3 linked regions of the Drosophila melanogaster genome follow. The gene in region 2 interacts genetically with the main gene of each other region. Each region holds a gene or a part of one and is shown on either strand. Other genes may lie near its edges.

The links.
Region 1: of Spc105R (region 2) and Klp61F, changing one suppresses a phenotype caused by changing the other (phenotypic suppression), as found in Drosophila melanogaster (one study listed by BioGRID).
Region 3: of Spc105R (region 2) and cmet, changing one suppresses a phenotype caused by changing the other (phenotypic suppression), as found in Drosophila melanogaster (one study listed by BioGRID).

What each region holds. Positions count from the first base shown.
Region 1 is NT_037436.4:1,239,968-1,251,046, reverse strand, and holds Klp61F (Kinesin-like protein at 61F), read left to right. Parts: upstream 1-5,136; 5' UTR 5,137-5,406; coding exon 5,407-5,486; intron 5,487-5,552; coding exon 5,553-5,853; intron 5,854-6,046; coding exon 6,047-7,379; intron 7,380-7,444; coding exon 7,445-8,655; intron 8,656-8,719; coding exon 8,720-8,971; intron 8,972-9,021; exon of another isoform or gene 9,022-9,055; coding exon 9,056-9,079; 3' UTR 9,080-9,479; downstream 9,480-11,079. Other genes in the region: Bfc (booster for Crq), read right to left, coding at 1-170; Sac1 phosphatase, read right to left, coding at 978-2,756; Psf1 (partner of Sld five 1), read left to right, coding at 3,373-3,981; CG32318 (uncharacterized protein), read left to right, coding at 4,414-4,493, 4,560-4,974; galene, read right to left, coding at 9,565-9,770, 9,826-11,079. UniProt on the Drosophila melanogaster protein: Important role in mitotic dividing cells. Microtubule motor required for spindle body separation.
Region 2 is NT_037436.4:20,795,093-20,806,171, forward strand, and holds the start of Spc105R (Spc105-related), read left to right. Parts: upstream 1-5,317; 5' UTR 5,318-5,386; coding exon 5,387-5,413; exon of another isoform or gene 5,414-5,450; coding exon of another isoform or gene 5,451-5,474; coding exon 5,475-5,578; intron 5,579-5,630; coding exon 5,631-6,376; intron 6,377-6,452; coding exon 6,453-10,767; intron 10,768-10,829; coding exon 10,830-11,079. Other genes in the region: CG3698 (uncharacterized protein), read right to left, coding at 2,237-3,259; tzn (tenzing norgay), read left to right, coding at 3,698-3,896, 4,051-4,898.
Region 3 is NT_033779.5:11,263,214-11,274,292, reverse strand, and holds the start of cmet (CENP-meta), read left to right. Parts: upstream 1-5,290; 5' UTR 5,291-5,446; coding exon 5,447-5,585; intron 5,586-5,660; coding exon 5,661-5,783; intron 5,784-5,840; coding exon 5,841-6,187; intron 6,188-6,240; coding exon 6,241-7,142; intron 7,143-7,246; coding exon 7,247-7,411; intron 7,412-7,735; coding exon 7,736-11,079. Other genes in the region: cana (CENP-ana), read right to left, coding at 1-1,608, 2,760-3,595, 3,649-3,995, 4,053-4,175, 4,251-4,389.

The sequences.
Region 1 (11,079 bases), about 20 Mb from region 2:
TCGCGGATGTTCAGGAAAACCGAACGGAACGTGATCTCCGTGCAAGTGGGATACTCCTCCGGAGCGCAGAGGTTGGGACGAGTGATCAGCAGATCGTCCACCATGAACTCCAACATATACAGGAAGTTATCAGCAAGATTAGAGCGTTTCTCCGACTTGTCCATTCTCATATAAAAGCTTAAAAACTAGAAATTTGACAAAATTACTATACCAAAGAATTTGTTATGTGTTGAAAACGTTTTTAGAAATTTTCAGTCACTGAAACCTAATTTTGACGAAAAATAAATATGTTGAATTTTGAATTCAGATTTTGACGACGTGCCGAAAAGGAAAGACTGATTTTCGAAATGGATCTATGCGACTGAATGTAAAAGGCCTGCCTACGATTCAAAATATATAAATAAAAAGCTAAGAGCTCTGCATTCCTACTAAAATATCAACAATGACATTCTTTATATGATTAACACCCTCTGGGTAACCTGTACTCTTAACCTTTACTGGCCATCTTTTATGGTTGTCATAAACGCCATATACCCATATCATTAATTACATTTCACCTCCACAAGTAGATAGAAAGACGCCGGTCTGAGGTTTTCTAGCAATGCGTAAAATACTTTATTTAATGTCATTAAATGGTTCTACAAAAGTGATTGATCTACATTGCAGTTAATCGCAGTTAATAAGCGGCGCCTTCACAACTCCACTTCTTCCCGATCGAAACCCCAATCATTCCCCTTTTCCAGCCGCCTGAAGCTCGCCTAAGTGTAAGTGATCTGTGTATATAATGACTAACAAGTTGCAGAAGGGAATGGACTGGGGGGGGCTTTAAGACTAAACAAAAACAGAATAAAACAAAACAGAAATTGAGAGGAAGTCGAATCGATTACAGAATTGGTTTACAATTGTTCTTTCTCGGAGCAATGGGACAGTTTAGCTGCAGAGGTAGTTCCCAGTGACTCTGCTAGACGACACTAACGTCATGGGTCTCGAAAGGAGATGGGCGGAAAAAGCCGCGGCCACTGCACGAACTCGACGCCGTAGTGCAGGATGCCCGTGGCACTGACAGCGATCATTGCGCCCCAGAAGAGCATGAACAGCAGGTTCTCCGTGTTAAACTCGGCCGGATAGGTCATCGTGATCATGAACATGGCCACAGCCACAAGCAGCACCGAGGGGAAGGTGAAGAACCGCCAGCCATGCTTCGACTCCAGCGGCGATGGCACGGCACCGCCCTCGTTGTCGTTGACCAGATACTTTCCAAGGAAAAGATCGATGCTGTCTTGCCGCTGGCCATCGGCGAAGTTGTTCAGATAGTAGCGCATCAGCGAGTTCTTGCCGTCCTGCATGGCACCAGACTTGGTCCTCTTGCCCGTCCTGGTGAAGTCGGTCTTGAGCGCACACGTTCCGGAATATTGTAGCGACACCAGATCCGCGTTGTCCGCCCACACGCCCTTGAAAATGCTCTCGAAAATGTCGGAGGCATGTTCCACTTTCTGGCCCACATGAAGCACTCCCAGCTTCTGGAGCACCGCAGTGAGGGACCTGCGGGCCAGCATGCTCTGCACGACGTTCGTCCTATCGAGACAGTCGATACAATTCGTTCGGAAGACACCAGTCTGCGTGGACACCAATTTGCCGTCGTCGAAGACATGATAGACACCGAACTGATCCTGCTCATGGGCGAGGCGATCGATGAGTATGTTCAGCCGGTCCCAGCGCATCTTACGGCACTCGCTGTGGAAGTCGAAAGACTCGTATCGCACTTGTGGATTTCCCATTTCTCGAACCAGGCGGGCATAGGTCGCCTCGAGCTCGCCTTCGGCACCTTTGTGATCCACTAGATTCACAGCCACATTGTTGCCATACAGCCGGATCTGTTCCTTAAAGTGGAGCCCGCAGGCGGCCAAATGATCCTTGCCCGGCACCAGAACGGGTCGTGGCTTATAGCGCAAATTGGGCAGCTGGTGCCAGTGGAAGGGCATGCTGCCTCGTGTCTGCACGAATCCAGTCAGCTGCCCGTTGAACTCCACTATTTGCTCGGTCTCTACGAAGTTCGCAACATGGCCCTGCTCGTCGCTGCCTCGGCAGAAGAGCCGTGTGCCCGCCCGCTGCACGGAACGCCTGGTGATGATGCTCCAGAAGAATGTCTGCCCGTTGATCTGCACCTGGTTGATAGACACGAAGCCCAGGACGAGTGGCAGCTGGAACTTCTCCATCTTATCGCAGTTGAACTGCCGCAGCACATAGCCATTCCAAACGAATCGCTGCTCAGCGCGCTGGAGCAACCCGGATACTTCAGGCCGCGATTGTGCCACCTCCCGCTGTCGCTGCAGCGAATTGGTAAGGTCGTAGCGGTAGGAGAAGTAAAAGAACTTGGTGTCAAGTGTCTGGCGTAGCAGTCGCAAGTAGTTTTCGTTCTCCTTGCGCTGGAAGGAATTCGGAATGTAAGGTATGATGTCATAGCCCGCTAATCTCCACACAACTGCGCCATTGAGCACGCCCACGAAGAGGCGGTGGGTCGCCACCAGAAGGTAGTCGCAGCTCAGTAGGTGAATGGTTCCCAGCACACCACAAATCCTCCTGGTGGGGCGAAGGTTGGCCACAAGACCTCCGCTCGCTGGCTGAACCCTGGTGACTTTGTCGTGGCGCCCGATGACCAGCAACTCATCTCCTCCATTCGGCTCGATGATGAAGCTCTGCGGTGCGATGTACAGGTTCATGTCATCGTACACGGCGTTCTCCTCCCTGCTGTCCATGATTTCCGGGGGCGGTGGCTGGCCCACTTCGAAGACTAAGGGTTAAAAATGGGATAAGGGTTAATAGCTATAGCCAGTGCTGCTTCCTCTTTCTCTGCTCACTTCCTGTAATCGGGGATTCACTGTCGCTATCACCGCTGTCACACACGCACAGCACCAAAATCAGCCACACAATCAGGAGGTTACTCGTTCTTTATTGATTTAACACACAAATTGCAGTTCATCTGATTTTTGGGCCAACTCTTTGCCACTACGTGTGTGATAGGGATGGACCAGTTGGCTAAATAGCCGAATAGCGAATAGCTAATATATTCGATACTTTAAGATGTTCACACCCACTTACTTGCATGTGGTACTCCACTCCCGCAGTTGCACCAATCTAACCAGGATGGCATTTCCTCTTAGGACGGCATAATTTGGGCCTCGTAAGCTAAATTTTGATAAATCACCGTTTCAAATCTATTTTAAAGGAACATGGCTACTGAGGATGAAATTTTTGTTATTTTTTGAAATATACCAAAAGAAATACCAAGTATCGATACCACAAGTCGACGAACATTTTGGCGCGAATCCATCACTAGATCCCCAAACCAAAGAAAAACAGAGAGGATCAACAATGAGCCGACAAACAAAAATGTTCGGCGAGAAAGCCTTCGACCTGCTAAAAGAACTGGAGAGATCGTCGCAGACAATTCCCGCCTTCGACGACGATGGGGTGCGCCAGGTGCTGGAGGAGATCAAGGCGATATTCGAGGAGAACGTGGCCCAGGCCTCCAGCTACAATGCTTCCGGGGATCGCAGTCTGTGGCCCCTGCTCAACTTCAGGCACGCAGCTCTCCAGAGGAACAAGAGGTGCCTGCTGGCCTACCTATACGAGCGGTGCAGGAGGATCAAGGCCCTCAGGTGGGAGTTTGGACCCATTATCCCCGGGGACATCAAGCAGGCACTCTGCGAACCGGAGGTCACCTTCTTCAACAACTACTCCAAGTCCCTGGCTGCCTACATGTGCAGTGCGGGCTACAACCAGGGCTTGCCCATTGATCTAACCAACAATCTGCGTCCGCCCAAGTCACTTTACATCGAGGTGCGCTGCATGGAGGACTATGGGAAGTTCGAGCTGGACGACGGCGAGGTGATCCACCTGAAGAAGAACAGCCAGCACTATCTGCCCCGAGCTCAGGTGGAGTCTCTCGTGAGGCAGGGCATTCTTCACCACATAGCCTAGTCGGGATTATTTGATAATAAGAGTTTACTATACATATTTAATGGTTTAATGTAGAACAAATAAAAGATAAAAAATTATTTAATTCAAATAATTTGAACATTCTGTAGTTTTCCAATACTTGTATTTTTCGATGTTGGTATTTTCAGGGTGCCGTGTTGCGGTCACACTATTTGCGCATTATTTTAAAATTGAACGGACAACTGAAGACGCTGCTTCTCTCTGTTCTCATTGGAAATAGTGCGAAAATTGGTTTTCCACGCCAGCCTTCTGTAAATAGTAGTTACAGTTATCAGCATTCGGCTCGGTGGAAGGTGAAGCACAAGGATTTCCAGGAATCAAACACACACACACACGCATACCGATACACGCGACAGGCGTCATTTTTTGGACTGTACGCGCTAAAACCACAATTAATTGTTTCAATTGATCAATATGGACATATCTGGTGGGAATACGTCGCGCCAGCCCCAAAAGAAGTCCAACCAAAACATCCAGGTGTATGTGCGCGTCAGGTGAGTTTGTATATGTAACCAAAACCCCTTAAAAAGATCTACATATATCTTCTATATCTTTTGTAGACCCCTTAATTCTCGGGAACGTTGCATCCGCTCGGCCGAAGTCGTGGATGTGGTCGGACCACGGGAAGTGGTCACCCGCCACACGCTGGACTCCAAGCTCACCAAGAAGTTCACCTTTGACCGCAGTTTTGGCCCCGAGTCCAAGCAGTGCGATGTCTACTCCGTCGTGGTGTCTCCGCTGATCGAGGAGGTCCTCAATGGCTATAACTGCACGGTGTTTGCTTATGGCCAGACGGGCAACAATCTGCGTCCGCCCAAGTCACTTTACATCGAGGTGCGCTGCATGGAGGACTATGGGAAGTTCGAGCTGGACGACGGCGAGGTGATCCACCTGAAGAAGAACAGCCAGCACTATCTGCCCCGAGCTCAGGTGGAGTCTCTCGTGAGGCAGGGCATTCTTCACCACATAGCCTAGTCGGGATTATTTGATAATAAGAGTTTACTATACATATTTAATGGTTTAATGTAGAACAAATAAAAGATAAAAAATTATTTAATTCAAATAATTTGAACATTCTGTAGTTTTCCAATACTTGTATTTTTCGATGTTGGTATTTTCAGGGTGCCGTGTTGCGGTCACACTATTTGCGCATTATTTTAAAATTGAACGGACAACTGAAGACGCTGCTTCTCTCTGTTCTCATTGGAAATAGTGCGAAAATTGGTTTTCCACGCCAGCCTTCTGTAAATAGTAGTTACAGTTATCAGCATTCGGCTCGGTGGAAGGTGAAGCACAAGGATTTCCAGGAATCAAACACACACACACACGCATACCGATACACGCGACAGGCGTCATTTTTTGGACTGTACGCGCTAAAACCACAATTAATTGTTTCAATTGATCAATATGGACATATCTGGTGGGAATACGTCGCGCCAGCCCCAAAAGAAGTCCAACCAAAACATCCAGGTGTATGTGCGCGTCAGGTGAGTTTGTATATGTAACCAAAACCCCTTAAAAAGATCTACATATATCTTCTATATCTTTTGTAGACCCCTTAATTCTCGGGAACGTTGCATCCGCTCGGCCGAAGTCGTGGATGTGGTCGGACCACGGGAAGTGGTCACCCGCCACACGCTGGACTCCAAGCTCACCAAGAAGTTCACCTTTGACCGCAGTTTTGGCCCCGAGTCCAAGCAGTGCGATGTCTACTCCGTCGTGGTGTCTCCGCTGATCGAGGAGGTCCTCAATGGCTATAACTGCACGGTGTTTGCTTATGGCCAGACGGGCACAGGGAAGACCCACACCATGGTGGGCAACGAGACTGCCGAACTGAAATCCTCCTGGGAAGATGTGAGTGAACAAAAATTCAAATCAAAACCATATCAACCATATCAGCGTAGGGCCCTACATTCTCACTTTCGCAGTTTAACCAAACAAAAAAGGTCTTTGCCATTCTTAGCCATCTGGCTCAAGGCCATCGAAACCAGTTTTTCTTTTCTAAGAATCGCTAATCTAACCTTTTCCAATTTGTCTTCCCGCTTAGGACTCTGACATTGGCATCATACCGCGCGCTCTGAGTCACCTTTTCGATGAGCTGCGCATGATGGAGGTGGAGTACACTATGCGCATTTCCTACTTGGAACTGTACAATGAGGAGCTGTGCGATCTACTGTCCACCGATGACACCACCAAGATACGCATTTTCGATGACAGCACCAAGAAGGGATCGGTGATTATCCAGGGCCTGGAGGAGATACCAGTGCACAGCAAGGATGATGTGTACAAGCTGCTGGAGAAGGGAAAGGAGCGTCGCAAAACAGCCACTACGCTGATGAATGCACAGTCCTCACGCTCCCACACTGTATTTTCTATAGTTGTGCACATCAGGGAGAATGGCATCGAAGGAGAGGACATGCTGAAAATCGGTAAACTGAATCTGGTGGATCTGGCGGGCAGTGAAAATGTTTCCAAGGCTGGGAATGAAAAGGGAATACGTGTGCGGGAAACAGTAAACATCAATCAGAGCCTCTTGACTCTCGGTAGAGTAATTACCGCTTTGGTCGATCGCGCTCCTCACGTTCCATATCGTGAATCAAAGCTGACTAGACTGCTGCAAGAATCTCTGGGTGGCAGGACCAAGACCTCCATCATAGCCACCATATCGCCGGGCCACAAGGACATCGAGGAGACCCTGAGCACTTTAGAGTACGCTCATCGCGCCAAGAACATTCAAAACAAGCCCGAAGTCAATCAGAAGCTGACCAAAAAGACTGTGCTCAAGGAATACACCGAAGAAATCGACAAGCTTAAAAGAGATCTTATGGCGGCCAGGGACAAGAATGGCATCTATTTGGCCGAGGAAACCTACGGGGAGATAACTTTGAAGTTAGAATCCCAGAACCGCGAGCTTAACGAGAAAATGCTGCTGCTCAAGGCTTTGAAGGACGAACTCCAGAACAAGGAGAAGATCTTCAGTGAGGTGAGCATGAGTCTTGTGGAGAAAACGCAGGAGCTGAAAAAGACCGAGGAGAACCTACTGAACACGAAGGGTACTTTGCTCCTGACCAAGAAAGTGCTGACCAAGACCAAGCGACGATACAAGGAAAAAAAGGAGTTGGTGGCCTCGCATATGAAAACGGAGCAGGTTTTGACCACACAGGCTCAGGAGATCCTAGCCGCTGCTGATCTGGCCACTGATGATACTCATCAGCTGCACGGAACCATCGAAAGAAGGCGTGAGTTGGATGAGAAGATTCGCCGATCTTGCGATCAGTTCAAAGATCGTATGCAGGATAATTTGGAAATGATCGGTGGCAGCCTGAACTTGTATCAGGATCAGCAGGCAGCCCTCAAGGAGCAGCTAAGCCAGGAAATGGGTAAGCTATCTACAGAAATCAATTTGTATATTATTGTACATAAGTAAAATTTTATAAATCTCCAGTAAACTCGAGCTATGTGAGCCAACGCCTTGCACTAAATTCCAGCAAAAGCATCGAAATGCTTAAGGAGATGTGTGCCCAATCGCTACAGGATCAGACCAACCTCCATAATAAGTTAATAGGAGAAGTCATGAAGATCAGCGATCAGCACTCTCAGGCATTTGTCGCCAAGCTGATGGAGCAGATGCAGCAGCAACAGCTTTTGATGAGCAAAGAAATTCAGACTAACCTGCAGGTGATCGAGGAAAACAACCAGCGGCACAAAGCCATGCTGGACTCTATGCAGGAAAAGTTCGCCACCATAATTGACAGCAGCTTACAGTCTGTGGAAGAACATGCGAAGCAAATGCACAAGAAGTTGGAGCAGCTCGGGGCAATGAGTTTGCCAGATGCGGAGGAACTGCAGAATCTTCAAGAGGAGTTGGCGAATGAACGAGCTCTGGCGCAGCAGGAGGATGCTCTCCTTGAGTCCATGATGATGCAGATGGAACAGATCAAGAACTTGCGGTCCAAAAATAGCATCAGCATGTCCGTACATCTTAATAAGATGGAGGAGAGTCGACTGACGAGAAATCATCGCATCGATGATATTAAGTCTGGTATCCAAGACTACCAAAAGTTGGGCATAGAAGCTTCCCAATCCGCACAAGCGGAGCTCACCAGCCAAATGGAGGCGGGAATGCTTTGTCTGGACCAAGGCGTTGCCAACTGTTCGATGCTTCAGGTGCACATGAAGAATCTCAACCAGAAATACGAAAAGGAAACAAATGAGAATGTTGGTTCCGTTCGAGTGCACCACAATCAGGTGGAAATTATTTGCCAAGAGAGCAAGCAGCAGCTTGAGGCGGTGCAGGAGAAAACCGAAGTTAACTTGGAACAGATGGTGGATGCAAGGCAGCAGCTTATCACCGAGGACAGACAGCGATTCATAGGCCATGCCACTGTAGCCACTGATCTTGTCCAAGAGTCGAACCGGCAGTTCTCGGAGCATGCTGAACACCAACGGCAGCAGCTGCAAATTTGCGAGCAAGAGCTTGTACGCTTCCAACAGTCGGAGTTGAAAACGTACGCCCCAACTGGGACCACGCCCTCCAAAAGGGATTTCGTTTATCCGCGCACCCTCGTGGCCACGTCGCCACATCAGGAAATTGTGAGGCGCTATCGCCAAGAGCTGGACTGGTCAGATCTGGACACCACGGCCACTATAGATGAGGTAACCTAAAATCCTTCAACCTTGTATGTTGAAAAGCACCAACTTTTATGTTTCCAATCCGTAGTGCAGCGAGGGTGAGCATGACGTCTCCATGCATTCCGTCCAGGAGCTGTCCGAAACTGAAACCATAATGAACTCCACGCCCATTGAGCCCGTGGATGGTGTCACCGTGAAGCGTGGGTGCGGCACCACCCGCAATTCCAATTCGAACGCCCTAAAGCCACCCGTAGCTACTGGTGGAAAACGCAGCAGCTCGTTGTCACGTTCCCTGACACCCAGTAAAACGTCACCTCGAGGTTCTCCCGCCTTCGTCAGGGTAAGTCAAGTGCAAGTCCGCTAATGACTTAACAAATAAAGGGTGGGGATATATTATCATTGCTTTTATTTTCAATATTTTTAGCACAACAAAGAAAACGTAGCCTGATTGCATTCGATGACAGTAGTAGTCTCCCCTTCCCAGTAACCCGTTTATGTTAGTGGATTTCGGATCGCTGTGTTTGTTTGGCTCTTCTGGATATTCATTTTATCTGTATATCAATCTTTGGAATTTCGTACATTTATTATTTAAATAAACTCAGTATGCTATGTAAAGTTAAGGAAATCTTTAGTTCAAGTGCAGGTTTAAGATATATCAGAAGGTATTCTTAAACTTCGATACTATTTTTTAGGGAAGAAGTGAATTTGGTTTTTTAATGATGTCATGCCTTCCAAGGAAGCGCTTTATAATTAATATAATCTTAACTATTTTACTTATCATATTCTCGTTTGTGAATTTAAATTTGTTGAAGTTTTTTTTCATAAAACATTTAAACATATTAAATATCCATCTTTCAAAGTGTGTTCCTTATAATTAGAGCATCCAACATATTTAGGAAAAAACAGATGTCATAACTATCTATCTATCTATTACTAATCCTCATCCTGCTCGTCGTCATCATCCTTAAGAATGCCCAGACGGCGGGCTACCTCCTTCACATTGGCAATGAACTCCTCCTGGACCAGGTTAAAACTCATGGCCAACAAGGCAATGCCGAAAAGAAGGTACAGCGAGCAATAGGCGATGGACTGCTCCGACTCGTCCTTGACTCCTTTCGCGGGGACAAAGTCACCAAATCCTGTAATGCAAAAGCAGATGAAAAGAGTGCGCAAGGAATTGGGATAAACACAAACCGATTGTTGTCAGTGTAATGAAGCAAAAGTAGGCGGAATCCAAGAAGGACCAGTTCTCCCAGTACGCAAAAAGAACAGCTCCGCCAAGGATGTAGCTCACTACCAGAAAGACGCATAACCAAATGGGGACAGGTCGATCCTTGGGCAGCAGATCTCCATAGTCCCCATACTCATCCCCGTACATAGAGTCATCGTCGTCGTAATCGTAGCTGGGTCGCCGACGGATTTGCCGCTGGACCGGAAATCCCATTGGTGACATGATTCTCGGGGAAGGGGGCAAACGTTCAGCCCGCTCTCTTCGGCGATTTCTTTTTGGTTCTCGACTCCTTGAGTGGTGGCGCTCAGGCGGATAATCCTCGTAGTTATTGTCTCCGTAAAGGGATCCCTCATCGAAGCTCTCTTCCACGTAGTCCTCGTAGCGACCCTGGGAGTGACCACGCCTATCCCGTCGATGGTCCCGTCCCGGCGGTGGAGCATCATAGTCGGGAAGTTCGAGATGGTTGCCATAGCGAGATGATTGCCTGCCCAGACTTCCAGCTCGTCTATCATGCTGTTGGCGATAGGAGCTCTGCGGTGGCGGCTGTGGAGATCGTTCCCGTTCTCTGTCCTTCTGGCGTTGCCTTTGGTGAGCAGATCTGGGCATGGATTGACTCCTTGGAGCTGCTTGTCTTCTGTTGCCCCCGAAGTCATCTAAAGCATACCTATTTGGTATAATTGGTGTTTTCCTCACCACGTCCTCGTCGACGTCTTCGTAATGTGAAGAAACGTGCCTGGGATCCACGGACTTGGCCCTACTTCTCCCAGGTGCCGAGTGAAGACGATGCAGTTCTCTGGACGCTTTGGAAGATTCCTGATTGTGTGGCGATCGAACCGATCGCACACTGGCAGCTCTTTTCGCAGGAGGTTGCATGTCACCGAAGTCCTCAATGGATCCAGCATCCAAGTGGGATCGAGAGTAGCGCTCCCTTTCTACCGTGTGTCTGTCCCTCATCCGATCCCGTTGTCTTTGCCGGCTACTGTAGCGGTTGGATCTGTTCAGGGTCTGAGTTTCGTACCCATCTCCGTAAATGGTGTGACGCTGGCGAGGATCGTGATGCAAATGCTGCTGCTGCTGCTGACGACGATTGCGTCCGCCTCCACTGCTCCGATGTCCGAACTCGCGGTCATCGTAGCCCCGGCCCATGGTGCGCAGGTCGGGATCTGAATAGGCATGACCCATGGAAGGACCCAGACCCGAGTCATTCCCAGACCGTT
Region 2 (11,079 bases):
TCATCCAGCATTATAATAACCGTAGATACCCGGAATTTCCAAGCACTTTGCGATAATCTGCGACTATTACTCAATTTTCCATAGCTCCTCTCAAATCGTTGTGCTCACCAGTAACTTCTTGCATAACCATTTGTGGCTGGCCAGCCCATCGTTTTCAATAGTTTTTCAATGGCCTTCCATTGTAGCCCATTGTTTGTCCCGTCGACGCTCAACAAATTGCTTAACTTCTCGCAAAAAGAGACGGGACGCTCCAGGATATTTAGCAAACGTCATCGTCCTGCGGCAGGAGAATGGAAAAACTGCCCGGTTAATCCCAAAATTCCAGATTCAGACCAGAAAATAGAGCAGAAACAGCTTACCATCTGTAATCCCGAAACGGCCAACAATGCGTTTTGCAAGGTGTCACCTTGTCGCTATCCTGTCTGCTCCCATTCACTCGCACGATCTCTTTATCCTGTCGATCACCCAATAATGGGCATTGTGTGGGAGTTTCGTCTGGCGATGCCAAATGATTTTCGCACCTTTAGCTGGAAAATATTTTGAGCATTACGCGCTGCACACAAAAGGTGTTTATAGACACATCGCAAGGCAATCCAATTAATACGATTTGGAAACTAAGCAAACGCAGTGTAATTAATAAAATAAAATATTTGAAACAAAATAATTTCAATTAGCTTAACATTAGTTGGGCTGACCTACACAGCATGTTTTGTAAAGGCTATAAAATAATACAAAAACTTGTTGATACTCATTCAGAATATCTTCAACTTTTAGAAGTCATGTCTTTTTAGGTCGAAAATACTTTGATGTTGTATTTTTGGGGACAGACATCACGAGACACTAAAATAAATCAGAACAAGCAGGAAAACGGTTCACATTTTCCCCGCCACTTAGTAACGCAAATCAATCAGTCGCGACTTTCCTTCGGTAATTTCGAACATATGCTGGGATTTTCGATTCCCGAACAGCCAAACAATTTCCACGGCTAATTGGGCGGCCGAGTTCCATGGGTCCATTTCACTTTCCCATTGAGAACTCGGAAGGCGGTGTAAGACGATCCTTAGTTGGCAACCAGCTAGCTCATTGTTCTCGTCGAGGAAAGCTCGCTGGTGTTTGTTTCCTTTTTCAACGCGACCGCTAAACAACAAAACTACAACTTTTCCACCTAATACTCTTCAGCTATTTGTATACCTGACCAGATTTGAATATGATTATTGATTGCAGTTTACCTTCTGGATAGGAATTCTGTTGAAAGTCGGAAACCCGAGCAGATTGGCAACTGATTTCCATCATTCTACCTGATCTAGATCAGATTTGTTTATTTGCTCTTTCTAAATTTGGTATGCAGAGTTCTTGGGAAATTTTGGCCAAAAATGAATGAAAATTTGAAGAATGAAATCTGATAAAATCAAAGCACCATTGATAAAAAAAAAGACGGCTGTTTCTCACCATTACATAGAGAAAAATTGTCCAACGATATTAATATTTTCACTATATATTATTTATATTCAAGTTCTATATTATTTATGGCTAGCTTTAAATGGGATTTCAAATTCTCTTGTGCATCGTTGTTTTCTAACGACTTTATTAAGCGAAAATTGTAAACTAATTATGCGCTGCCAAACGAAATTCCCGCGGGACACAATTAGTGTGTTTTTTATTTTTTATTTTGGACATATGCTTTCCCCGGCCGCAAAATGAGCAAATAAATCATAAATGTTTCATTCAACGTAATTGAGCCAGAACTTACCCCTAAGTTCTCCTTCTCCGAGGGGCAGGGGTGGGTCACCATGCCTACACTTCTGTGAAACGAGAAAAACAATGTAATCCGAGAAGGTTTTTTGGAATGTGCGTAATATTGTGTGAAGGCTGCGAGGTGGAAAAACTTCTTCAGTTTTAGGGGTTGTAATGGCTCCGCCTACGGGAACAAGTGGAAGTGAAACAAAACGGTCAACGGAACAAAATTGAAATGAAACAGATTCAATGGGGGAATCCTTTTAAATTTATAGTTCATACAAATATTGATTATATACAAATATAAAAAATATGTATTTAATAATATTATTGCCTGATATTATATATTGCATTATATTACATTTGTACAAGCAGTTGTAGTTTTCTATCCTTAATTTAAAATGAGTAGAATTTATATAAAGTCCGTACTTATTTTTAATATAACAAGAAAAGCACTTCGAAAACGAACAATAACAATTTAACAGCGTAAACGAAACGAAACTCAAACCTCTTTGGCCAGCTTATGGACCTGGCGATAGTTGACGTCCACCAATCGTATACTGCCGCCCACCGTGGCCAGCGGTTTCATCAAGTTGTTCAGGGTGGTGGCCACCGGATCGAGGATGTCCCTGGCGGAGCACAGTACATTGTATAGGAAAATCAGTGGTGGCTGCAGGTAGCCGTTGAAGAGCATGGTCAGGAGGGGCTTGAGCAAGTAGTCGGAGGTCATGTGGAGCAGTCCAACGATCAGGGTGTTCACCAGGGAGTAGAGGACAAATCGGTAGCTCTGCAGAATGAAGGCTACCACGAAGGCCACGGCGATGTGCAGCAGTCCGAAGAGCTCCGCCCAGAAGTGGGTGGCATAGGTGGTGGCGCGGTCGGCCAGGACAATAGCATTGATCTTCGGATGCGAGTCCGTGGTGCTCAGATAGTCGGCGCAGCCATGCTCGAAGGGATAGATGCCGATGCAGGTGTGCCGGTTGGCCTCCTTGCGATTCCACTGTGGCTCCGGCAGATCGTCGATGATGGAATTTCGGCTCTGCGGCTGGCACTTGCACATCTTGTCCAGCGACTCCACTAAACGGGCTAGAAAGCCACTCTTCTGCTTCTGCTTCTGCGCCTGCGATGATTTGTGGGACTTTGTGGCACGACCCTTCACTTTCGGCGCAGTTCTCGTTGGGACGAGCACACGGGGACGGCGCTTGGAGTAACGCTGGAACTCGATCCTTTGGGGCTTGCTCTTGCTCAGGCTAAGCTGACTCTTCCCCGGCTCAGCGTGCATCTCGTACAGAGTGTGTGGTGAGCTCCCCGAATCCGTGGACGCGGTCATTTCCCCGTGCGCCACATCCTTGAACATGTTGTACTGCGTCTGACTGTGCTGATATGCGTCGGAATCGCTGGAGGAGTTCAGCCGTGGGAAGATCTTCTTCAGGGGAGACTGCAGCTTGGCCGTCACCCCCACGTGGTTCACCTTGATCAGGTTGGACTTGGAGGTGGCGCAATGGGGATCGGTTGATTCCGACATAGTGACTTTATGTTCTAAACTTATGACGTGCCGCTTCAAAGCCAACTGACGTCTTTTTCGTACATATGATCTGAATTCAAGTTAGGCGTGCCAAAAAGTTAACTTATAAGCTTTTTACCACAGAAGAGAACATATACTCTTTGGCCTAGAGACAAGAATATATAATTTAATATAAAAATGTATTTTTATTATTATTGGCTTATGTCTGTGCTATAAAACTTTTCATTTCCGGTTTGAGCCACCACTACGTTTGCAGGTATGTTTCGGTATATTTCCGGTAGATGGTGTACCCGTCAGTGGTTTCCCTTACCGGCCCCCAAACGGTCACACTCGCCCGAGCATAGCAGATTTGGAGAAAAAAACAACTGTAATTAGGAGCCATAATTAATTCATTTCGAATCGCACACGCTTTTCAGTTTATCTAGCCGAAAGTACAGAATGTTGGCCTCCGCCTGGCGCAGCGTGGCCACCTCCGTGGAGACCCAGTTGACGGCCACCTACTTCCGAGGTTCGTCCAGCAATCCGACACTGCTCCTGCGTTCCTGGCGGACGATTCCTCGAGCGGATGCCCCTGGTTTCGGAGCGATTCGGCGGCGTTTTCTGGCTGTGCCCGTCATCTGTCCAAGTCTCGTCAAGCGTAATCTATCCGTACATACGTGTTTAATCTAATCTCTCCCGGTGCTGCAATTTCATTTCCCAGTATCTACGCTTTTTGTTCGTCCGTAGCTAGTCAGTCTGTTTATCTGTTGGCCATCTATGTAGCTAAATGTGAAACCATCGCTTCGTTTCAGTGCAAAAACTACGAAAAGTCGGCTTCAGAGGCATGCACAGCACATTGGAGGACGTGCAGCTGGAGGGCATGGAGATCAAGATCCTGCCGGCCCTGCAGGATAACTATATGTATCTGATTGTAGACACGAAGACGCGCGAGGCGGCCGTGGTGGATCCCGTGGAGCCGGAGCTGGTCATTAAGACGGTGCAGGAGCAGCAGCTGACCCTCAGCAAGGTGCTGACCACGCACCATCACTGGGACCACGCCGGTGGCAATGAAAAGCTGCTCAAGCTGTGGGAGAAGGAGCTGGACGTGTATGGCGGCGATGACCGCATCGGGGCATTGAACAAAAAGGTTCAGCAGGACGACACCTTCACCATTGGTGGTCTGCATGTCAAGTGCTTGTCCACGCCGTGCCACACTACCGGCCACATCTGCTACCACATCACCGCGCAGCAGGGCAGCGGCGAGGGAGCCGTCTTCACCGGCGACACCCTCTTCCAGGGCGGATGCGGCCGCTTCTTCGAGGGCACTCCCGAGGAAATGTACGAGGCGCTGTGCACAAAGCTCTCCGCCTTGCCGGACGCCACAAAGGTGTTCTGTGGCCACGAGTACACGCTGCAGAACATGAGCTTCGCCCGTCACGTCGAGCCCGACAACGAGGTCATCCAGCAGAGGATCGAGTGGGCCAAGCACCGGCGCGCCTCCCAGGATCCCACTGTGCCCTCCACCATTGGCGAGGAGAAGTCCTGGAACCCCTTTATGCGCGTTCACGAAGCCACCGTGCAGAAGCACGCTGGCGGAGCCACCGATCCCGTCGTCACCATGGGCAAGCTGCGCAAGGAAAAGGACACCTTCAAAGCCTGATCTATTTCCTCGAAAGTTTCGAAACTTGTGATTTAATATTGGATTTTAATGGTTAATAAAATTAACGATGTGTGTGAAGTGCGGACAATGGATTTTTAATTATTCGCAATTTATCGGATTAAAACTTTTTTTGTTTTATTCAAATTATGACATAAATTTATTTCTTCAGCTTTATTTAAAAGAATTTATTTTTGGTATTTTGGTCTAGCAACACCCTAGAGAAGAGGGTACTGGTTGATTCCAACTTTATTCATAGAGCAATGAACTTAACAAATTTTTTAAATCCAAAGATTTTAGCAAATTTCGTAAAATTTGAATCACAACGGTTTTGGTTAGGCGTTAGTGCCTTTTGGGCATATCAAAAATACTTTTGGTATTTCTAGCGATCTATCGCCAACGATCTGGCAACACCGTCTGCCATTAACACAAAAATCGCGGCGTCTCTCCAATGGGATTTTGAAATAAAAACAAGTTAACAGCACGGCGCGATGAACGCAAACAAACGCAGAAGTTCGGTGGGTTCTTCGAAAATTAATTGATTGAGAAGCGCTCATGGTAGACCTACTCTTCTTGCAGCTGCGTAAGGTGCCGACCAAGGAAGATGAGGCGACCACAACAACGTCCGCGATCAAACAACAAATCAAGCGACGCATCAGTTTCAGTGGCAAGAAGTCCGTGAGGTACGTACAGTAGATATATGCGATGTACAACGCTCACCCGCCCTCCACATAGGGAATTCGTAAACACCAAGGAGACCAACAACTGGGACGACTCGTACGAGGTGTCGGAACACCATGCTGAGGACAGCTCGGGATCGAAGTGCTGCAGCACAGGATCAGCATCAGTAGCGAGGGTTTCCGAACATGCCGACAAGGAGAACATTCCCCTGCCCAGCCACTGCGAGCGGGAACATGTCGATCTGTCCGTGAATCTGCAGGCCAGCGTGGATTTCACCCTGCTGCCCTGCGAAATGATGGACAAATCGAGGAAGACATCCTCAATCTCTGCTGTGTCCTTTTGCATGACCTCCGAGGAGCGAAAACTGTTGCAAAGCAGTCTCAGCGACCGCCAGCTGGTAGACAAGACCATGGATCTGATATCCGGATCTCTCGTCAACCGCCACCAAATCGCGTCGAGCGTTTGTGAGGAATCCTCCATCAAAGTGGCAACAAACAAACTGGAGAAGGTGGTATTCACGCCAGCTGTCAAGGCTGTGAGTGACTCCTTCATGGACATCACGCCATTGGGATTTACTGATCCCAATCCTGCTGCTCCCGCTCCAGCTCCAGTTGCAACTCTATATCCTCCAACTCAACAAAGTTTAATGGAGCTCGAAGAGGACAGCATTGTAAGGGAGATGCGTGAGTCCACCAAAAACCAGACAAAAACTCCGGCGCAGAAATCGCTTTTCATGGACGTGGGGGAGACCAAGAATAAAACCCAACAGGGAGCTGGAGGTGCATCCTTCTCATTAAATGGTTAGTATTATCTCAGTTAAATCCCTTCCCAATAGTTTCTAATTAGCAAGTTTTCGGTTGTCACATTATTTTGCAGTTTCCAATAACCGAGATCGTTCGCCATCGAACTCCTTTGAGAGCCTTAATAGCACCATGAACTTTACGAGAGATGAGTCGATGCTGATACCATTCGACATGATTTCGGGGAAAAACATAAGCAAGAAACTCAATTTTCGTCAACTCAACGAAGACCTGGAGACGGGTAAGATCCAGATATTTCCGAACGGGCCAAAAACGCCGACCACGGATCGTAAGGCCAAGAAAAATCGGTTTTGGTGCGGCCTTGAAGAGGAGAGCGCGGGAGATAATAGTCCAAAGAAAGATATAAGAAGCATAGTGCCACGAGGAATGTTAAATTTCAGTGAGAACATGACCTTGACGCCGACGAAAACAAGTCCAGTTGGAAAGAACAAGGAGAAACTAAAGGCGGCGGATGAGAAGCAGAAGTATCGACTATCCCAGGCGGATGAGATGATGCTTGACAATACAAACTTCTTGGCCCACGCCAGACTAGGCGACGAAACGCAGTCGAGAAATACGTCGAAGAACTCGACAAGAAGGGAGACAACTTGCGAAACCTCGGAACTGAATTTGGAATATCCTACGTTAAGTCAGGACTTTCAACCCATTCCGAGTTCCAAGACTCGTAAAACTGATTTTATGGCTGAAGAAATGCAGCTCAGTCAGACAAATTACCCTGCTATTCCTGCATTGAAAACTGCTACCTCGCGTCGCACCTTACATCTCAATGAATCTATGGATCATGAAACAACGAAATCCACGTACGTTAGGAAGGAGATATCGGTTACCACGCAGGAGACTATCTACGAAAAATCCACAACCAACGAGCAGAACAGCAACCAAAATCGCAACACATGGGCCTGCACTAAAACCAAGCGCAGGGCGACGCTTTTGATGCAGGAAAGCATGGAGGAGGACATCATTAGCCCTCTCAAAAACTTACAATTAAAGCCCAATGCGGCTCCTATGAATACAGGGCAATCCAAAGTGAACCATACGCTGTATCTAGCAGAACCACTGGAGGAAGTGGACATAAACCAAAGTAATATGTTACCAACTAAAAATGTTGCCCCTAGAGAACAACTTAAAGCGAGGAAAACGCTGCTATTAGAGGAACCTATGGAAGAGGAAATGAGCAGTAACATTGGTTACAATTCCAAAAGAAAGACTCTCCACTTAGCGGAACCTCTGGTGGTGGAGGGAGAGGATTTCATTTTGGAAAAGCACATACCAATAAAAGTAGTCGCGCATCAAGAAAACAAATCCAAGGGTAGACAAACTCTTTTGTTCGAGGAGCCCGTGGAGGAGGAAATATTTCACAATGCGAAAGATTTACCGGAATGTGCTTTAAAGGGAAACAAGACTGGACCTCAGAAATACAGTCAATTAAACCAGGGGAAGAGTTTCACTTCGCAAAGCAGATCCAAAGCTAGGCAAACCCTCCTGATCGAAGAACCCATGGAGGAGGACACGGAATTTAACAATAAATATAATATTGCCAAACCTGGAGAGAACCACATAAGAAAGATCGCTAAATCCAGACAAACTCTCCTTTTGTCAGAACCTTTAGAGGAGGAAATGTGTCTTCCACCGCCAAAGAATAAGTCAATAGTGTCGCAAAAAACAATAGATAAATCAACCGAGCAGCAGCGATCAAAATCGAGGCACACGCTATTATTATCCGAACCTATTGAAGAAGAACATATTCAGCAGGACTTGCCAGCTGAAAAGGAGGATAGTTTAGCTAGACAGCAAAGATTCAAGCCAAGGCAAACGCTCATCATGGCAGAGCCCATCGAAGAAGATGTTGGAGAAACGGAACGTAGGGTGCAAACTAACATCACTGGTTCGTCAACTTCCAGACCAAGACACACTCTTTTGATGTCCGAACCGATTGAAGAAGAACTAACTAACGAAGATAAAAGTACGAATGCCAGCACAAATAGAACGTTAAGATCGAGGCGAACCATTTTGATGGCGGAACCGATAGAGGAAGAGGGCAATAAGTCTATCGCTGAAAAAATAGGTCAATTTACTAAAGAATCTTCTGAAGAAGCGGTATTTCAAACTTCCAAATCTCGTCAAACTCTGCTGATGGCAGAGCCTATAGAGGAAGATGTTTTCAATCAGTCAAATGATCAGCCAAAGCCACTTCCTATATCTAAGGATAAAATCACTAGGAAGACCTCTAGACGACACACGCTTATTACTGCCGAACCCATTGAAGAGGATTTGAGTGTTCGTAAGCCGCTGGAAAATTCAAAGGAGTCATCTTTGACCGCCAGAATTATTCAGTCATTCGCCGAGCCCATTGAAAATGCCCTATTTTCAATTACTGATCAAATAGCTAAACAGCAATTTTCCGAATCGGTTCAAACTCCTCCCAAGGAACCCCTAAACTATCTCCACCAGAAGCCGCGGAATACCCTCATCTCGCATGAAACTATTCAGGAGGATTTAGAACCCGTAAATGAAAACTCATCAGTGGGGCCTCTGAGGTCCAGGTACAGAAAGACCCTTATCATGGCAGAGCCCATTGAAGAAGATGTTAATAACCACAATATGACCAAACAAAATGGGATCTGTGACTCTTTAAATGTTCCACAGTCCGGTGGATATATGGCTGCCAAAACAAGACAATCCGTGCATATACCGGTACCCATTGAGGAGGATCATATTCCGGGCCAACAGCAAAGAGAATCCGAACCTGCGGTGAAGGGCAGAACTACGCTGCTGACTGAGTCCATAGAAGAAGATGTACCCGCGCAACACACTCGAATTTCTAAAAATAAATCAATGGGCTCGAAGGTTTCGGCGGAGCCTATCATCGAGGATTTGGATTCCAACAGACCAGAAATTTCACAATCCGTGGAAGAGACTTTACCCCAAAGAAGCCAGGTTCCTGATGTTCCGTCATCCAGAAGACATACGCTACTTTTATCGGAACCCATGGAAGAGGATGAGGGGATATTCGGACATAACTACCCCATAAGGACCAAGCACCAAATTTCCGAAAAGCTAGAAAAACCAGAAGGACCCATTCATTCATCTAAAAATTCCGTAGAAAACGAAGAGATAGGCACTCCTCCCAGTGCCAAGACTCAGCAATCCATTGCTATGTCCGAATCAATGGACTTTCAAAGCCCGCAGTTTAGGCCGAGGGGTCCGGACTTTAATGCAATCACGCCGGGAATGTCCTTGACTGAATTTGTGGATCAGGAAGAGATGTGCAAGACCCCGATTCACAAAAGAGTTCTCCTGACTTCCCATCGGAAAAAATTGTCCATGTACCAACCAGTGCCGATAGACCTTGAGGCGAATGCCTCCGGCTTTGGAACTCCAAAAAATCTCGTCCAACTAAAGCGCCTACCCACGCATCTCACGCCCAACCTTCCGGAGTCCAAGAAACGAAACACGCATCTGTTTCCGAATAGCAACATGGACATCGAATTGGAGGAGGATCAGGAAGGTTCTTGGGGGACAAAAAGTATTCAGATGCACACAGGGACAAGTAAATCACGCAGGACCTACACGGTAGACCAGTTGGACGCGTCGGTGCAGCCAGTAAGGGACTACAATCCTGTAGTGACTGAGATGAACAAACAGGGTGGTCTTAATATGCTGGAGCTGCCACGAAAATCGACCTATAACATGGATCTAGAGGAGAAACCCATCACTATCTCCGATGTTAATAATTACTTCCATGAGCAAAAGGAGCAGCAGCGCCAGTCTAGCGAAAGAGAGAGCGGCAGCTCCAACGATAGAACCTTCAAGAGCTACGCAGCAACAATCTCAAAATTCATCAATCTGACCGGGAACACAACCATCTTTGCAGCCGCAGAAGATTTGGGTGGTGAGGGGAAGGACCAGCCCCACCAGATAGATAACGAGCACCTAAGTCTGGTTTCCACGCTGGCGGAGGAAACAGACGATGATGGCGACGAGAAGGAGGAGGAAGAAGAGCAGAAGCAAAAACAGCATCTCTTACAACCTGAAATCTGCGAGGCTCAACTGAATTCAATGGTAAAAGCTGGCAGCGAAGGCTCCTGCAAAAAGTGCAGGAATTGCAATCATACTTTGAGCGAAACAAGGCTAAGTAGCGAGTCATTTGTCCTGCCACCTCGGAAATTGTGGGACTTTTCAAGGCTACAGCAACGGTTGCGCAATATAAGGCAGAGGCCGTCGTGGAAGGAAGTGAACACTTACTGGGAGATCGAGGAGGAGGCTCGTCTGTCCAGGAACCAAGACTCCGACGATTCAATGGAGCAGACCAGGGTGGAGGAGGAGGCCACCAAGTGGAACAAAGCGGCGCTTCTTGAAATGTGCAAGCTGTGAGTACCGAATACACTTGGAATTTTGAATCATTTTTTAACATTTACTATTTCTACAACAGAAGAACAGAAGAGAAGGACATAGCCATGCCCCCGGAATCCTTCTTTACGAGACTCAAACGTTTGCTAACCGAACAGCAGCCCAACTGGATCTTCGACTACCAGCGTAAAGTGTCCCAGCAAATGATATTTTACAACCGACAGCTGACCACGATCCGAATCGTGGTGAACTACCAAATCGAAGACTTAGTAGAGGAGTCCACCATTAGCGTGTGTTCCATTCAACTAGACAATGACGTGCCCACTCCCAAG
Region 3 (11,079 bases), on a different chromosome or scaffold from region 2:
AGATGTGCAAGGGATGTCTTGAGAGTAAGGACTTCCTGAGATTCCTGCTTGTTAGCGGTCTGTACGGTATCTTTAGTCTGCAACTCCTCGCACAATATTTTTGTCTTGGCATTTTGATTTTTTATAGTTTCGATTTGATTCAGGCTGGTAATTTGTGCACGCAAATTGTTAATAACTTCTTTCTCTTCCTCAATTAGATTCTTTTTCCCGTCAACTTCTTGTTTCAGTTGGAAAATGATATCACGCATTCGGTCTTCCTCTTTCACCAAATTCTGTTCCTGATTTATTTTGACAATCTGAAATCTTTGGCATTTCAGAAAGCCTTTAAGGAATACGGAGTCGGATGCATCATGTTGTTTACCATCACCCTCTAAATACTTAGCAGGCTCAAGGCAAAGTTTTAGGCTTGGCACGCTTTGATCCTGTTCGGCATGGTTATATATAAAGAGGCGCCTGCCACCGGAGTAGTCGGTGAGCTCAATCTGTTGGATGGACTTCGACAGCTTGGTGAACTGTTGCAGCAGATCAGTGTCCAATTCGTTTTCCGGATCACTGCACTCAGTGCCTACACCCGAACTCTTCATGGATTCCAAATCGGAGTTCGTTGTTCGTTGCTTGTGCTCCTCTCGGAGTGCATCGCACTCTTGAATAGTACTCATCAATTCGTTGGATAGACATTCGTAATTCAGTTGGATCTCGTCAAACTCCCACTGCAACTTGGAGAGGCGCTTCTTCAGCTCTTGATTTTGTAGCTCCATATCTTCTGGATGAGTATCCGGATTGGGAACTTCTAATAGCTCACTATGGATCTCCTCCACTCGCTCCTTGAGAGTTCCAATCTCGGCTTGCAGTTTAGAATTTTCATCCTGCAGCTGCTGACACTGTTCATCCGATCTGAGTTCCAGATGCCTATACTCGTCCTGCAGCTGTAGGTACTTTTGCTGTATAGTATTGTAGTCAACCTGCATGGTATCAATGGCCAGCTTTTGACTAGACCACTTATGCTTCAGGTTGTTGTACTTTTCCTGCAATTGTCCAAAGTCATCATGCGCTGTGGATATCTGTTCGGAGAGCCGTTTGCAATCAGTGGTCTTTTGTGATACCTCACAGCTTGCATGGCTGAAAGTAGACAGCATACTTTCCAACTTCATACGGGTGGCAGCAATCTCCGATCGCAACTGATCAAACTGGCAGGCGACTGAGTCCAGTCCTGAGGCACTCGCTAGGGGCAGTAGCCGTTCCAACTCCAGGCACTTGTTGCAGATCCGCTCGCAGCTGGACTCAAGCTCGGGGCACATGGATCGCATTTGATCCTCCTTGCTGTTTCGCAACACATCCCGAGATAGCTCCTCAAGGGACTGTTGCAGACTTACTATGGTCGAATCTTTTTCGGAGATGGAGGAGAGAAGTTCTTCCTCCATTTGCTTCGACTTGGCCTTGTGTGTTTCGAATTGCTCCCCTAGATTGACTGCCTTGCCGTTCTCCATCTCCAGCCGCTCAATTGTCTCCTTTAGCCTCTTCACCTGCTCCTCGTACTTCTCGATCGTCTCCTTTGCTACCTGGTTGGATGCAGTAAGCGCAGAGATCTCGGTCTGCGGGGCATCGCAGCTGTAATTGATAGGAAAATTGAGGGATTTGAATGAATACGTAAATTCAGGAACTCCATAAATATACTTTAACTCTATTTATATTTCCAGTGCGCGCATGGCTACGAAAAGCTATTTACTCTGCCTAGCTAAATGGGTGCTGTCTGAGGGAATCCGGCGTTCACAAAAAACCACTAAAAATAGAAGCAGCTGGCGGCATTCAAGTTGAAGTTGCACCAGGCGAGATGTGTGGGTTACGCGAACATGGTCAAAGAAATAGAAGCGTTTTTAAAGATTCAAATCTAAACACCTTTCACAAATTGTTTATTTTCGCAAACGAAACAGAAGTGCAACTGCACTGTGCTATTATTTTGAGCGCAGATCTTTTACCCAAGTCACTCACTCACTCACTCACTTTTTCGGTTTCGGTTAGCCAATCTATATGCGTTACATCACAGTCTATAACGTTGGTGGATCGACAGTAGGGCCGACGTCATCGATCACCCAAGACGATCGGGGGAGGAGCGCGAGAGCGATGGGCGGAGGAAAAGCGTGCTGACTGACGGACAGCGGCAAATACAATGAGCATTGCGGAATTCCAGCGATCAAATTATCAAGAAGTTGGCCAGTTAACTACCTTGTCGATCGGCTGACTGCCTTATCGCGCTTCCAGGGCCACAAAGCGATCGTAGCTGGGGCGTCACATCGCATCCAGCCGAGTCTATTCGCAAAACTGGCTCACAACAGGCGTCGCCTCGCCTCTTTCCGCTCCCGGATTCTCCCCCAGAAATCTTTCCTTCTCGACGGCTATTTGCGTTGGCGTTTGTTTTGTTTTCGATTTCTTCGCGATCGGACTCCCAGTTGAGACAGCTTGCCCTCTTCGCTGCGACTGCTGCGAGAAAGCAAGAAGAGCGAGCGAAGACCGCACGAGAAGACAGCCGAGTAGAAGAGCACGCCGCACTCGTCTCCACCTCGTTTTTAGTTCAGGTGTCAGGTGAGTGCGCGCAAGAGGTGAGTTGGTATGTTCAAAATGCGCAAAATTGCTTACTTAAAGTACTTTTCAAAACGATATAGTCGCGTAGAATACTATGTAGTTTCGTTTGTTTAACTCATTTGAATCTTTTTATAACTCTAGATCTAAAAGTAAAATAAATAATTCATAAATTTACTTACTTCGGCACCGACTCCTGATACTTTTTTGACATCATTACTGAAGGAATTCTGCTAGCTGTCTCTCTTCCCAACTGTTTCGCCCGGCCAGGCATAGTGTCCATATTATCCGTTTGTAACCTTTTCTCCTTTAGGGTTTTACAAATGCCTTTGGCTTTGGGAGCAATCCCCCGCCGCTGAAACAAGGGTTTCGGCAGGTTAGTCAGCTTCGAAGGACGCGGTAGACGGGACTCCTCTGGCTCAGGCAATGCGAGAACAGGAGCGTCGCCTTCTGAGCCTGAGGCGGTTAAAGTCCAAGTACGACGACGCTTCTGGAGGCGATAGTCGTCAAGCGAGGCGCTGGAAACGATCTTCAACATGTCGCGCTTGATGCGACCTTCCAATTCCTGCAATACCAGCTGGCTCTCATTCTTGATCTTCTTCTTAGCAAGCTTATCCTTCAACATACTGATCCCGCGATCAAGTTGCCTCATCATCGTGGTTTCAGAGTCTATCTTGCAGACCTGCGGCTTGCAACGAATTTTTTTGGCACACGTGCCGAAGCTTATAGTGGATGACGACTCCTCCACGAACGATGGCGTAATTGTACAGATGATAGAGGTCAAAACATTTCCACCCAGCGAAGGCAGCATGATGCGCGGAAGTTTCGAATCGCGAAAGCTATTCGGCTTGCTATCTACACTCTCGGAGAGGCTCTTAACCAAGTTGCGAAAAATCATAAGGCTGGATGCGTGGTCCGCGGGGTCCACCTGTTCGGATCCAGCCAGATCCACCAGGCTCAGTACGCTCTGCTTTACGGTGTCGTTATCACTGTGGTCCGACTTTCGGGACTCAATGATCTGTAGAAATAATCTTGCATATTATATGATTAATACAAGAATCTAGCACTCACTATCCTGAAGATGGCGTGCGAACGACTGGACCGCTCGTTCATGTTGGTCTCGCCCACGACGCGCTCCTTGTTGCCCATGTAGAGCTGGCGCAGGAGGTCGTCCTCGCTGGTTACGATGGACTCCTTGCAGTTCACATTCACAATCCCATTGCCGGACTCATGGATCTTGAGGTCCTGATTCTTCTTGTTCAGCAGATCGTAGATCTTCTCGTTGTAGATCTCGATGTAGCCCACGCGCAGCAGAAAGTCCCGCTCCGTCTCACTGGAGATCTGTTGAAAGATCTCCTTGGCGGCTAGCACCATGACGCCCGGATTCTGTTCGTCGCCCATCATGGTGTACGTCTTGCCTGAAATGCATGCCCGGTTTTAGGTATACCGCCGCGTATATATAGCACAGTACCCACCCGACGACGTCTGGCCGTAGGCAAAAATAGTTCCGTTGGAGCCCTGCATGCAGGCGTGCACTATGTGCTTGGCCATCCGGTCGAACACCTCCTGGTTGCTGGCGCCCTCGTCGAACACATAGTCTGCCAAACGGAATGGAATGTAAATGAGATAAAGGTCTTGTAGATCAGGATACGCTCAACGCTCTAACCACTCACCGAAGACATAGGGCTCCGCATGGCTGTCCGCCAACTGGATGGAGCGGCCCTCCTTCACCTGCCAGAGTGAAGTGAGCCCGGGCTCGCAGGGACGCACCTTGATGCAGACCTGGATGGAGCTGGCGTTCTTCGTAGACATCTTTGCGACTTGTGGGAAACGTGTTTGACATGCACAATGAACAGACACAAACAGATTTTAACGTTTTATAAAAGCTAGTTTGATCGACATGTTAGTTTCTCTTTGTAAATTCGAACAAATACCGCTTCGGAAGCGAACCAGATCGAAATACGGAACCAGTAAATAGGCGCGAGCCAGTTCAATTTAAAAGTTTGAGGAGCTTTCGGCGAATATGAAAATATAATCCAATAGGCTTCGAACATAAAACTTTTTCCGAGCTTTTTCGTGATATATAATATAGATTATTATTATCTATATTTCCAAAATAGTAAAGACCGCTAAATTAAATGCTTACTTACAGACAGACAAAAGCTGAGGGGATTGTTTAATGCATACAGAAGAATACTGTCTGATATAAACATGAGATTTCATTGGAATAATAATCCCAGTTGTTCACTATTAAAAAAAATAGGAAAATTGAAAATTTGGAAAATATTATAGTGGTTATATTAGGGAGCTTAGTTATAATTTATTTCAAATATTTGTTTTGGAATCAAATACTTTCCACATTATATGTGTGCTATGAATAGAAGTTATGAATTAGTAGAAAAAATACGAACTTATATGAAATTTAAACCGTAGTTTTCGCATGTATTTAAGAGCTTGTTCTATTTTCTGTTTGACCTTAAAGTATTGAGTCATAGAACTTTGTTAGTTAGCATGCCCTACCAATAAGAACACAACGTCTTAGAATATATATATGCCGTAGCGACCCTTGATCAGGAATGTTAATGCAGCCCTGTGGGATAAGAACATAATGTGTTTCTGTTTTTATTTTTGCAGCCCTATTTGGAACTATGATAACAATCGATGAACCGATTTATCTATCGAGTCGTTAGCGCCACTCGAAGATATCGAAGCATATACATCCCTGATTTTGCAAAGCGGCATTTGTTCGAATTTAACGAGCAACAAAGATGTCGATCAATGTTTGTTTACTGTAAAACATTGAATTTTATGTTTGTTTATGAACTGCGTTCTGTTTATCATAAAGCATTGAGACCAAGAAGGCGCCAAGATGTCTGCGAAGAACGCCAGCTCCATCCAGGTCTGCATCAAGGTGCGTCCCTGCGAGCCCGGGCTCACTTCACTCTGGCAGGTGAAGGAGCGCCGCTCCATCCACTTGGCGGACAGCCATGCGGAGCCCTATGTCTTCGGTGAGTGGTTAGAGCGTTGAGCGTATCCTGATCCACAAGACCTTTATCTCATTTACATTCCATTCCGTTTGGCAGACTATGTGTTCGACGAGGGCGCCAGCAACCAGGAGGTGTTCGACCGGATGGCCAAGCACATAGTGCACGCCTGCATGCAGGGCTTCAACGGAACTATTTTTGCCTACGGCCAGACGTCGTCGGGTGGGTACTGTGCTATATATACGCGGCGGTATACCTAAAACCGGGCATGCATTTCAGGCAAGACGTACACCATGATGGGCGACGAACAGAATCCGGGCGTCATGGTGCTAGCCGCCAAGGAGATCTTTCAACAGATCTCCAGTGAGACGGAGCGGGACTTTCTGCTGCGCGTGGGCTACATCGAGATCTACAACGAGAAGATCTACGATCTGCTGAACAAGAAGAATCAGGACCTCAAGATCCATGAGTCCGGAAATGGGATTGTGAATGTGAACTGCGAGGAGTGCATCATAACCAGCGAGGTTGACCTCCTGCGCCTGCTATGCTTGGGCAATAAGGAGCGCACCGTGGGCGAGACGAACATGAACGAGCGGTCCAGCCGTTCGCATGCCATATTTAAGATAGTAAGTGCAGCCTGCTATTTTCTTTCCGATAATCTGCAACATGTATCCCACAGATCATCGAGTCCCGAAAGTCGGACCACAGCGATGACGACGCAGTGATTCAAAGCGTGTTGAACCTGGTGGATCTGGCTGGGTCAGAGCGGGCGGACCAAACGGGTGCTCGAGGAGCGCGCCTCAAAGAGGGCGGTCATATAAACAAGAGCTTACTTTTTCTCAGTAACGTTATCAAAAGTCTGTCGGAAAACGCGGACAATAGATTTACCAACTACCGCGATTCCAAGCTGACGCGCATTCTGCAGGCTTCTTTGGGCGGCAATGCATTCACATCCATCATTTGCACAATCAAACCATCGATCATGGAAGAGTCGCAGTCTACCCTTAGTTTCGCCACGCGAGCCAAGAAAATTCGCATTAAGCCCCAAGTCAACGAGATGGTATCTGACGCCACAATGATGAAGCGGCTGGAGCGAGAAATAAAGGTGCTTAAGGATAAGCTGGCCGAAGAAGAGCGCAAAAACGAGAACCAGCAAAAGGTAGAGCATCTGGAGAGACAAATAAAACACGACATGCACAAGATAATCTGTGGTCACTCCCTGAGCGACAAGGGTCAGCAGAAGCGTCGCCGTACTTGGTGTCCCACTGCATCGGGATCGCATTTGGAGCTAGCAGAGACCGGCACAACTGAAGATCGAATTGACCAATTTCCAAAGGTCTCACACCTTCCAAAACCAGTGTTTTTTCACACTTCAAATGCAGGCAAACGATGGGACAACATTCCAAAGACCATAAACATTTTGGGTTCCCTGGATATCGGTACCGAGAGCAACTCCATTAGTGAGGAATTTCTCCCGGCAGAATGCATTGATTTTGGCTCCCCTCGCCCAGATGTCCTCAAACCCATGTTGACCATCAGGCAACTGCCAGACCTGCCCCTCACTCCCAAGGGTCCCTTAACGTAAGTACTTCTGCAAGCTTTTTGATCATCCTCCATAACATTCATCACATAACAATCGCATCCACATACCCCGACCCGATCCCTGCACTTATTTGCCTGCACAGAACGGATAAAATCAAGAAGGAAATCCAGGACCTGCAAATGTTCACCAGCTTAGAGAAGCATTTTGAGGTGGAGTGCGAAGAGGTGCAGGGTTTAAAAGAAAAGCTGGCCGAGGTTACAGCACAGCGGGATAATTTAGAGCAAGAATCGTTAGCCGAAAAGGAGCGGTGAGTTAATGAGGTGTTTTCTGTCAAGGAATCTGTCGTCCAAAACATAGTGCCTGCATCGTAAAAAACGATGTAAACGTAACTCGACTTTTGTGCTTTAAGCAGTCAACCCAAAATCTAACATACCTATTCATACAAATCTGTAAAACTAGTGCAGCGATATTCTATTCCATTCTATAAAAACAAAACACTTAAGTATATGTTTCAGTTTTTAACAGTAAATTTTGTTTATAGAACACCACTCCACAATACCTGTTTGTTTGATTTATTTTATTATAGTTTTAGTGTTTAACAATAGTTTACTACTTGTGTATCTTCTTATAGTTATGATGCTCTGGAAAAGGAAGTAACCAGCCTAAGAGCGGATAATGAGGCTGCGAATTCAAAAATCAGCGAATTGGAAGAGAAACTGAGTACTCTAAAGCAGACTATGAGAATAATGGAAGTGGAAAATCAGGTGGCCGTGGGCCTCGAGTTTGAGTTTGAGGCTCACAAGAAATCATCGAAACTTCGCGTGGATGACTTACTCTCTGCCCTTTTAGAAAAGGAGTCGACTATAGAGAGTCTTCAAAAGTCCCTCGACAATTTAACCCGCGATGTCTTACGGAACAGCAAGGAGGGCCACATGCTTTCCATTGCCCCAGAGCAGGAAGACATCGCCGGCGACAGTATATGCAACAAGTGTGAGGAACTGGAGAAGCTGATTGCAGATTTAGAGTCCAAGAAAAATTCATGCGAGTGTGATCAGCTCCGGTTGGAAATCGTCTCTGTTCGCGACAAGTTAGAGAGCGTTGAATCTGCCTTTAACCTGGCAAGCTCGGAGATTATCCAAAAGGCGACTGATTGCGAGCGACTTTCGAAAGAGCTATCCACATCCCAGAATGCCTTTGGACAACTTCAGGAAAGGTACGACGCTCTGGACCAACAGTGGCAAGCTCAACAAGCGGGCATCACAACCCTACATGAAAAGCACGAGCACGTGCAGGAGAAATACCAGAAATTGCAGGAGGAGTATGAGCAGTTAGAAAGCAGGGCAAGAAGTGCCTCCAGCGCTGAGTTTCAACGGCTTCAAAATGACAACACGAAGTTTCAAGCCGATATCGCATCCCTCAATGAACGATTGGAGGAGGCCCAAAACATGCTTACGGAAGTCCAAAACTCTGAATCTACTGTGGAAAAGCTTCGAATACAAAATCACGAACTTACAGCGAAAATCAAAGAACTGGAGACGAACTTTGAAGAGATGCAGCGGGAATACGATTGCCTTTCCAATCAACTGATGGAGAGTGTCCAGGAGAACGATGCCCTGCGAGAGGAGATAAAGCAACGACCCACGAGTCACGTTGAGGAGTCTATGAGGAGTTCCGGTATAAGCTCCGATTTTGACGAACAGAAGCAGGATATAAACCTTCTACACCAGTTTGTTCAGCTTTCTGAGTCCGTCCAACAGATAGAGCTGCAGCATCATTCCGGCATCAGTCGCCTCTTTAGAGCCAACCAAATGAAACTGGATCAGAGCGAGCCAGGACTTAAGCTTTGCCTTGAGTCTGCTGAGTACATCGAGGAAGACAATCGTCAATCCGATGCAACTGAACCTATTTGTCTCAAAGGCTTTCTCAAGCGACACAGATTTCAGATAAAGCGACTTAGCCAGGAACATGTAGATATGGGAGAGGAGAAGCGATTGCTTGATATTATTTCGCAGCTGGAACAGGAAATCGAAGAGAAGAGTGCACTTATGGAGGCAACAGAGGCAACCATCAATGAAATGCGAGAGCAGATGACTAACCTAGAGTCGGCACTCCTCGAAAAGAGCGTTATAATTAACAAGGTTGAGGACTACCAGCGGCAGATCGAGTCCCTGGAAAAACAAAATGCGGAGATGACAATGGTATACGAGGAGCTGCAGGATAGAGTAACAAGGGAGAGCTCGATGAGCGAGAGTCTGCTCCGAGTTCCACCTGACGAGGATACCCTTCCAGGATGCCCTACATCTCCCAGTAGACGAGAACAGGAGGTGGCCACGCTAAAGACATCCATAACAGAATTGCAGTCACAAGTTTCTGATCTAAAAGCAGAACTTGAAAACCATTTAAGGCAGATCCAGTTGAAAGACGGGAACATAGCGAGACTACAGACGGATTTTGAGGAAATGAGTGAGCGCTGCTTATCGATGGAGGTGAGGCTAGCCGAGTTGGATGAGGACACTAAGCAAAAACAAGAACTACTGGATCGTCAGGCGCAGAAGCTCTCCGATGACCTATGCCTTATCGATCAGCTTCAAAAGAAAAACGCGCAGCTCGTTGAACAGTATCATAAAGCGACAGAATCTCTCAGTCTTGCGGATGCAAAGCCGGATCAGATACTACTTTCCTCCCAATATGATAGTCAGATCGAGAAACTTAATCAATTGCTAAATGCAGCCAAAGATGAGCTACACGATGTGCGAAGGATAAAAGATGATGAGATAAGTGCTTTGCGAATGGAGTTCCTGCTCCAAATTGAAACGAATGAGAAAGAGAACCAAGCCAAGTTCTACGCTGAATTGCAGGAGACTAAGGATCGCTATGAGAGCAATGTGGCCGAGTTAAAGGAGAAGCTATTGCAGGTAGAGGAGACACTCTCCAGCGTTACGGTTCGTTGTCAGGCGGAGTTGGAAGCGCTTAAATCTGCTCATAAAGAAAATATTTCTCAGGCTGTGGAGGAAAGAAACAATTTGATTGTCCAGCACCAGGCAGAAATGGAGACTATCAGGGAAACTCTTAAGAATAAGCTAGCTGAGGCTAGCACCCAACAATCAAAAATGGAAGATGCCTTTAGAGCGGAAATAAACGAGGTGAGAGCCACCCTAATGGAGCAATTGAATCAAACGAAAGAAGATCGCGATAAGGGAGCCTCGAAGCTTGAGGAGGTCAAAAAGACACTGGAGCAGATGATAAATGGAGGACGTGTCATGTCAGACACCATTGCTGAGTTGGAGAAAACAAAAGCTGAGCAGGACTTGGCAGTCAATAAATTAACAAAGGACAACATCGAATTAGAGAAGCAGTGCAGTAAGACGCAGGAGCAGTTGCAAATGGAATCGCTTACTCGAGATCAAATCAGTTTCGAAATAGAAGCACATATTAAAAAGCTGGAATTGATTGTGGCCTCTTCAAAGAAAAGGATTATTGAGCTCGAGGAAAAGTGTGACCAGCAGGTTCTGGAATTGGATAAATGTAGGCTCGAGAAGTTGTCCCTGGAATCAGAGATTCAAAAAGCGAATTCAGAGCATTCGTGCACCATGGAAAAACTTCAGGAACTCCAAGCTGAAATGAAAGTTCTAAGCAACCGGAATGAGAAGGAAAAGTGTGATTTCGAAACTAAGCTCGAGACATTTACTTTCAAGATAACCGATCTCGAAGAAGTCCTGAAGGAGGCACAACATAAAGTCATTCTCTATGACGATTTGGTATCGCAGCACGAACGCCTAAAAATCTGTCTTGCCGAGGCAAATGAACTATCATCAAACTTGCAAAAGAAAGTGATGAGCCTGCACACGGAATTGATTGATTCCCAAAAGGGAATATCGAGTCGAGATGTGGAAATTAATGAGCTACGCGAAGAACTGAAGGCCGCTATGGATGCCAAGGCAACCGCGAGTGCCGAACAAATGACTCTGGTAACGC